Oryzias latipes: one gene and its partner. The protein of the gene in region 2 purifies or fractionates together with the protein of the main gene of each other region. This does not show direct contact. Links are inferred from orthologs where the notes say so. Each region holds a gene or a part of one and is shown on either strand. Other genes may lie near its edges.

Region 1 (4,364 bases), on a different chromosome or scaffold from region 2:
TTAGAGTAAAAACAAACCCGACTTGATTCGTTAGATCCACTTTAGCTTGGGCATGAAAAAATAAAAATAAAGGTGTGACAGGATGTTGAAGATCCACTCCAATCTTTTGTTTTAATTTAAAAGCGTTCTAAGCGGCCTCATAATTATAATCATGCAATTTCTAGACCCCCCCAAAACAAAACAGAACGGTGTCATTGTCTAGGATAGTTTCTGCAGAGCAGCAGGAGTTTATTAGAAATTCAGATGTGGGTGGTACCTTTGGCACACAGAATATTGTTCAAATTTAAATAATTTTCAAAGGGTCTGATTTTCAGTGCAAATTTGATATTTCATTACAAGCACTGAGGATGGCTTAAACATATGACAAAGAAAGAATAAACAAATGGAAGAAAAAAGCACAAAAAAGAATAGAAATGTCAAATAATTAGATATTTAATTTGTATAGGTTTGAGTTGCTTTCGTGAATAATTTAGCTGTTAAAGGATCATTTAACCCCTTTGCATCTTTGATTATCATCTTCACTCTGATACACACGTTATACTCTGTTACTTACTCTGTTGCAGGACCAGTTTGCTCACAGCTATCAGCCCAAAAAGCAGGCTCCAACTGGTTTTATCCATCCATTTATTACTGCACAATAATAAACAATAAAAGCCTGCGTATCATTAATTTCATCACTAAGCGCACGTGGTCATTTCTGTTGCACCACATTATTAATTCTGGTCTTTGTGTGATCAAAGCATGTTGTGTTTCAGCAGTTACCTTTGTCCCGCCACTCCTCAACCCAATAAAAGCGTGACCTCCTCTGAGCACTCGTCTCCACATGTTCAATAACAACAACAGCGTTCACATCCCCACGTGGCAAGAATCATGCTGCACTAAAATAACACATTAACCATTTACAGTCTATATATACAGTCTATCTATAGTTGACGAAATGATTCTCTATACTAAGTGACTGTAATTTGACTATAAACTGAAGACGTTTTCCTCTGTAGTCCACATGAGAATTGAAAGGAGCTCGGAAAGTACTGTTTCCGCAGGGCTTTACGCAAACACACCAATCCTGGACTGCGCATGACTGACTCTCGCGAAGCGTGCTGCCTTCAAGTGCGTCGGTTAATATGAACTACAACAGCCAGCAGAAATAGAGAGGTGCTTATTAATAGAAAGAATGATTAAAACATTCTACTTAACAATTTCAACGAAAAATAATGTAGAGTTAATAAAAGTAAATAACATTTAACTCTAGTGTTTTAGGACGTCTCAAAAACTAAAATGCCTTGATGATATTAGTGAGTCCATAGTGAGTCCGTGAAAGTGAAAATGAACAATTTTAGAAGTTTTAGTATTTGTCATGCATCAGAGCATCAATATATTGATGTTAAATTTGCATTAAATTCCTCTGAGACTCATTGTGAAGCGTACAGGGCTTTTTGGGTAATACTTTTAAGGAAGCCGTTGTATTATCCCTCATTTTCCAATAGGTGGCGACAAATCTTCTGTCAGCCGATCACCAACGTCCAACTGCTCTACAGAAGAAGAGAAGCGACTTGTGTTGTTGACTGCTGAGGGTTTTCACATGCTGTTTAAACAGTTTAAGACGCGTCCAACAACAATATCTCTAAACGCACCGATAATACTATATTTTATTCGGTGATCAATATTAGGACTGTTGGACGCTGTAGAAATGTCGCCACTATTTTTTCCTTAGGCGCAAAAGCGTGGAGCTAGCTAGCTAGCTAGCTTCGTTTAGCTGAAGCAGGAAAGGAAGAAACGACATCGTCCGTTTCTTCTGTCGGTATCTCTGACTCTAATTTTTAGCCTCTGTGTTTGAAGTTCGTCACAGGCATGGTCAATCGGATAGAGTGTATATTCTTTAGTGAGTTTCACCCCACACTGGGTCCAAAGATAACATATCAGGTGAGTGCTAGTCTGAAGTTGTGATCATGATCCGTAAGCAGACTAGAATAGTAACTTAGTCTTTAATGTTTACCTTAGTAGAACGGCCACAACAATGCCTCTATTATGCAGTACCGCATTATGCTGTGCCCTATTTTGTCCTAACACAAGAAAGTAAGAAAACTTGTTTTTCCTTTTGTTATTTTTCGCTTCCTTTTTGCACATAATGTTTCTTTTAATAACAATCAATGTCAGTACATTTCACTTTAACTTGACGCCCCACTTGTTAAAATTGCACTTTTTTTTCCTTTTTATATGATTATTATTATATCTCTCACATGGATTCAATGTGTCATGTGTTGTATCATTAAGATTTATGATCAACAGTAATTATAATAGCATCACCTACATGTGTTCGAAGAATGTATAGAAATGGATATTTACTTTCAATATTTTATTTTCCAGTCAAATAATTACTAATCCTCTTAAGTTTGATATATCTATGTGTAAATGTATCACTCTTGTTTGCCTTGCCCTGTTTTCATTGCTTGAAATAAATCCATACCTAATTCTAAAGGTCTATTAAATGAAACCGTAAAAGTGCAGTATTTTAACAGAAGTACAGATGAATACGAGAGTAGCTCCCTTTAAAAAAATCATATTTAATTTAAATAAATAAGTTGAATCTTCTTTATATGTTATATTGAACTGAGAAATGACATAAAAATATGAGTTGATTCTATATTTTTCTTTGTCAGGTCCCAGAAGAATACATCTCAAGAGAGCTGTTTGACACGGTTCAGGTTTATATCATCACCAAGCCAGAGCTGCAAAACAAACTAATAACAGTGTATGTGTTCCAAAGTTCTCTCTCTGATAGGAACTTCTATTTAGTGATTTGACAGAGTCATGCTTTCTAAATAAAGCTGCTCTTTCTCTTTAGTAACTTTGACCCTGCTTTTGTTTATGTCTACAGCACGGCCATGGAGAAAAAGTTAATCGGTTGTCCTGTATGCATCGAACACAAAAAGTACCGTCGAAACGCCCTCCTCTTTAACCTCGGCCTCGTTTGCGATGCCAAAACTGATACTTGTGCCCTTGAGCCAATTGTCAAGAAGCTGTCTGGGTACCTCACAACCTTAGAGGTAATGTTTAGCACATTTACTTTGTCTGATCCTGTCTGTTTTTCAAATCAGTATATCTGAATGTGTTGTTGTTTTTTTTGTTCTCTTCCGTTGCAGCTGGAGAGTGGGTTTATTTCTAATGAGGAGAGCAAACAGAAGCTTCTACCAATCATGTCAACCTTGTTAGATGAACTCAATGCAACAGGAGCCTGCACTTTACCTATTGGTATTATTTAGTCTTTGTGTGTGTTGTGGATATTACATACATTTTTAAAACCACAATTTTACAGATCAAGAAAAGGATCAAAAGTTACTTAAGTGTTCAATTTTTGCATATAATGTCACCAACTTCATCCAAATTTGGCCAAGTATTCTAAGTTTAGTTTTGGTTAGGATTAAACCAAACCATTTGTTTCACCTTTAAACTAAATTGTTGGGAAAGTAAACCAGTAATATTGCATTGGAAGTGTCAAACCCTCGTGTTGTACTAAATGTAATATACTTATTATTGTTTTATTACATTACACTAAGCTTAGCATAAGCAAACTGAATTTTTTTTAAACTTTGTTACTCGCTCATTAGCACATCCAAAAAGGATCTTTCCAACTATTCTTTTGTAATTTTTTTGTGTTTGTGTTGTAAAACACAAATCATATATCGAACCAAAGCAAAACTATGGTTTGAACCAAATCATGGGGAATATGAATTGTTGCACCCCAATGTTAATGTCACTAAAATTTGAATCCATTTTTCTTACATTTTTGAACTTAGAAGTTCTAAAGGATTGTACTAGTCTGCCTTTGCGCCGCTGCCAAAAGTCAGGGTAATTACTGGGTTTTTGTCTAAATTGCAGTAGAATCTTCATCTTATAAACTCACTCCATTAAAAATTGGGCTTTTGGGGTCTTTAGCGTGTTCTTGTAGCATTGTTCTCATGTTGAAGGACATATAAACAAATGAGTAATTTTCAAAATTCAAATCATTGTGAATTAGGGGCAGATGGAAAAAAAAGTCGTTTAAAGGTTGTAGGTGTGAAGCTGCTACAGTAAGCCGTGGACAAGCTGGCATCTGGCTCAAAGGTTTACGGCTGTACAGCTTCAATATTAATGTTAGGTTGGGGGTGTGAGGGGCTGTAAGCTAGCGGGAGAGAATGAAAACAAAGGGATGATGGGAAGTCAGCACAGGCTTACTCCCTTTCCAACAGTCCCGCCCACAACTCTGAGGCAATTTTCTCATGAACTCCTGCTGCTCTGCAGAAATGATGTCCCAGTGAACAACACACGTTTTTAGATTTAGCCTAAAAACAACAAAATCCTATGTAAAAGACCACTGGGAAAAC
Region 2 (3,578 bases):
GAGGCGGACACTGGGAGCTTCTGATTGGAGGAGGGTGGGAAGGAGGTTTGGCCCACAGCAGCAGGTGAGCGGGTGATTGGTCAGAGAGAAAACGCCAAACAAAAGACAAAGAGACAAAACAAAGCCAATCAGGGGGGCAGCCAGAGGGAGGAAGACCGGAATGGCTGCAGGATCTTCTTCATCCTCAGACTGAGGAAGACTCAGCGGCACACCAGGACCTTCATCACAAACCAGGTCCCAGGTCCAAACATTCATTCACCAAACTCCGCCCTGTCCACCCGCGTCTTCTCTCAGGCTTCAGCTGGGTTATGGTTCAGCGTCCAGCATGGAGGTTTCCAACCCCACACCTTGTTTTCCAGCAGAGGTGGACGGACGGAGACAAACCGCTCCTGGATCTGCAGAACTTACACGCCCGCCCCTCCCTGCAGGAGGTCAGCGCAAAAACAGAAGCTTCCTGAAGGAGTGACATGCTAACCTCTGCTCAACCCCCCCCTGAAGGGCTGGTTGGTTCTGGGGGGGCAGTAAGTTCCCAAAATGCAGACAAACAGCAGAACCATCAACCCACCATGACATGCAGGGAATCAGGAAGCTGCAGGAAGCAGTTAGATGCTGTTTCACCCGCTTTAGTGGTTAAATGATCCTGGAGGGGGGGGGGCTGAAGAGCTCCTCCCACAGGAGCGTTTGGCTCCAGGAGCCAGTGTGCAGCTTCATCAACCCCGGACCCCAGCTCCGTCTGGAGGGGAACCGGCTCCTCCGGCTGTACGTCCGGGGTCGTCTTTCTCCTCTGGTGGTTAGGGACGGTTCCCTCCCCCAGGCTGAGGGGTTCAAAGGTCAAAGGTCAAAGCAGGAGGCCGACAGATGGATGCAGCATCTCCGGCGCTCCCGTCTTTGAGCAGGTATGTTCCTACCCCCCTCCCCCGTGTGCTGAAGTGTCCTTGGGCAGGCACTCCTGGTGGATCTAGGTTGGCGCCGGTCTTTGGCAGCGGGCCGCCAGCGGTGCGTTTATGGGTAAATGGACCGTAAAGCGCTGTCAAATCATCAACGCTGTTTATCATTTTTCAACTAAACGATTTTGATAAACTTCAGTTTGAGCTGGACTGTAAGGTCGACTTCCATTACAATCTAGACACCTGCTTACCCTGTTGCCATAGCAACTGGTCCCTTTGATGTGAATGCAGAAGCCCTTTCCACTGTCTGAGTGTGAACAAACCTTCATGTCATCACGGAGACGCTAAGAAAAGATCAAAAACCAGCAGCAGCGGCCGTCAGGAGGCTGCAGTCATGTGACGCGCGCCTCACCCGTTCTTTATAGTAGAAGGAGGAGATGGAGACGGTGTCTTTGTCGGAGCGGGTGGGGCTGCCGCTGTACAGCCGCAGCGTGCTCTGGGACTCGGAGCGCATCTTCATCGGGGTCAGAACTCCGCTGTGATAGGCCGACAGAGCCGACAGGGACCTGGACGCGAAAACACAATGACTGACAGCTCCTCGTCCCATCATGCACCTGAGCTCGTGGGCTAAACTAACCCTGAACTCAGGAGAAAGGTCAGACTTTAGCGCTAAAAACAGGAAAGTCAACCCCTAGAAACCAGAAGATGCTCCAAAAGAAGGAACACATGTCATGAAGGTCCATGTCCCTCACATATATGATCCCCAGACACCCGTTTAGGCACTTCCTGTACTCACACCTGTGCGAACCGTCTAAACTTTAATCCTGATGCATCAACCAAAACTACACCTTTAAGTTGGGCATCAAACCACCAACCCTGGGAGGTCTCTGCTGACAGCAGCAGGAGCCACCGGTTACTCTTGTGAGTCATCAGACACACTGGTATCTGCTGCCGTGGCGTTTGTACCTGGGGGTGGGCTCTATGGCGGGCGCCGAGCGGTGCATGCTGATTGGTCGCGTGAAGTAAACGAGACAGCCGGTTCCGCAGAAGCGAGCTCCAGACGTACGAGGGAAGGGGATGTTGGCATCCTGAAAACAAAACAACAAGAGGTCGTCAGCTAGAAGCCAGCATCGTCTTCATCGCAGACGAAGGCTCCTCACCTGGTAGGAGCCGTAGGTGTTGGTGACTCGGGGGAAAGCCTGCAGCGATGGCGTGACGGGGTTGGGCAGCACAAAGGGACCCGATGCCGGGCTGTCCTCCTGCGTCTGAGAGAAGACACGAGGAGAACTTGAAAGGTTCCGGATGGGGTCTGGATCGGTCCAAACGTCTCACCATGTCAGACTCCAGGCAGGACACCAGCTGTCGGACACACGGCTCCAGGCAGTTCAAGTTCCTCTTCACCTTCTGGAGAGACGTGTCCCTCAGGATCTGAACGGAAACGGAAAACGGTAAATCTGCAGCTCTGGAGTTCCCTCAGGAAGACGACCTGCTGCACCTTCTGGATCTTGGTCTTCATGGTGGATGAGATGGTCGTGGGGGAAACGAACTGGAAGGTGGGGGCGGCGTTGTTGGGATACTGATCCGGAAACTTGACCACCAGGTGAACCTGATGGCTGCCAAAGTGCGCCGACACCACACAGCTGCGGTTCATGGCGTCCATCTGCACGCCACAAACTCCTGTTACCATTAAGGCTCTCAGACCCCCAGCTTTTATTTTGAAGGGGCACAGAGGATCCTCACCTCCATGTTCACATTTCTGATCTGCTGGTTGACCAGAGAGAACTCCTGCTGCAGAGTCTGAGTCAGACCTGAACCCGGGGCCAAGTCCTGACGAGTCCCGGAGCTCTGCGAGCCCCCCTGGTCTGAGGACCACAGACACGAGTCAGTGCAGGTTCAGAGTCTCCATCAAGGACTTCCATGAAGGAAATGCCTCCTGGTTCCTCCTGAGCTCCACCTGTCTCACCCAGCAGACCATCTCCGGCTCCGCTGAGCTGACCCTCGGGCCCCTGAGAGGACGGAGACTTCTCCGTGTCCACGGTGAGGGACATCCCCTCCATCAGGTCCTCCACCCCGTCACTGACGCACAGCTGCAACACAAACACCACCTAGTCAGAGCCCGCTGGAGCTGCCGGAGCCGGTCTCGGGGGAGCTGACCTTCTGCAGCTGAGGGTCCACCCTCCAGATCCGCAGAGTCTGATCTCTGGACCAGGTGACCAGCTGGAAGTCCTTGGAGCCTGCAGCAGCACCGACAGAACAGAGCAGTAAACGGTCAACTCTCCATGTCATTTTGTGCTGAAAAGACTTGAAATGGTTTCCATGGAAACCACAAGGTCGCATTAGTTCAGTTGGTCACGGCCAAAGATCAGACTCCCATCAAATGAAAAAGTTTTAAACATTTTTGATTAACAATTCCTTTTGTTCTGCCTTTTAAGGCATTCATCGTTTAAAACTAACATTTAGCGTTTAGCAATAACATTTTTGGTTTAGTGTTAAAGTGTTAAAGAAATATCGTTGAATTCTCACAAATATCGTTTAGAAATTTACAAATATCATTTAGTGGTGACAAAATTTGTTTAATGTTTACAAATATCGTTAATCGTGAGCAGATGTCATGTAGCGTTAGCCGTAGTGTTTAGCGTTAGCCGTAGTGTTTAGCGTTAGCCATAGTGTTTAGCGTTAGCAGATAGTGTT

What was found. Proteins that work in one complex are often made in the same cells at the same time.
Region 1: the proteins of wdr59 (region 2) and nprl2 purify together in Homo sapiens (affinity purification with western blotting; 5 studies listed by BioGRID and IntAct, with this or other methods). This does not show direct contact. The link is inferred for Oryzias latipes from reciprocal best matches to the Homo sapiens genes WDR59 and NPRL2.

Annotation. Positions count from the first base shown.
Region 1 is NC_019863.2:8,118,707-8,123,070, reverse strand, and holds the start of nprl2 (GATOR complex protein NPRL2), read left to right. Parts: upstream 1-1,513; 5' UTR 1,514-1,851; coding exon 1,852-1,923; intron 1,924-2,001; exon of another isoform or gene 2,002-2,076; intron 2,077-2,660; coding exon 2,661-2,752; intron 2,753-2,878; coding exon 2,879-3,047; intron 3,048-3,143; coding exon 3,144-3,252; intron 3,253-4,364. Other genes in the region: hemk1 (hemK methyltransferase family member 1), read right to left, coding at 763-825. UniProt on the Homo sapiens protein: Catalytic component of the GATOR1 complex, a multiprotein complex that functions as an inhibitor of the amino acid-sensing branch of the mTORC1 pathway.
Region 2 is NC_019861.2:37,920,989-37,924,566, forward strand, and holds part of wdr59 (GATOR complex protein WDR59), read right to left. Parts: intron 3,122-3,578; coding exon 3,042-3,121; intron 2,975-3,041; coding exon 2,842-2,974; intron 2,750-2,841; coding exon 2,628-2,749; intron 2,548-2,627; coding exon 2,383-2,547; intron 2,316-2,382; coding exon 2,220-2,315; intron 2,153-2,219; coding exon 2,048-2,152; intron 1,976-2,047; coding exon 1,854-1,975; intron 1,454-1,853; coding exon 1,300-1,453; intron 21-1,299; coding exon 1-20. UniProt on the Homo sapiens protein: As a component of the GATOR2 complex, functions as an activator of the amino acid-sensing branch of the mTORC1 signaling pathway. The GATOR2 complex indirectly activates mTORC1 through the inhibition of the GATOR1 subcomplex.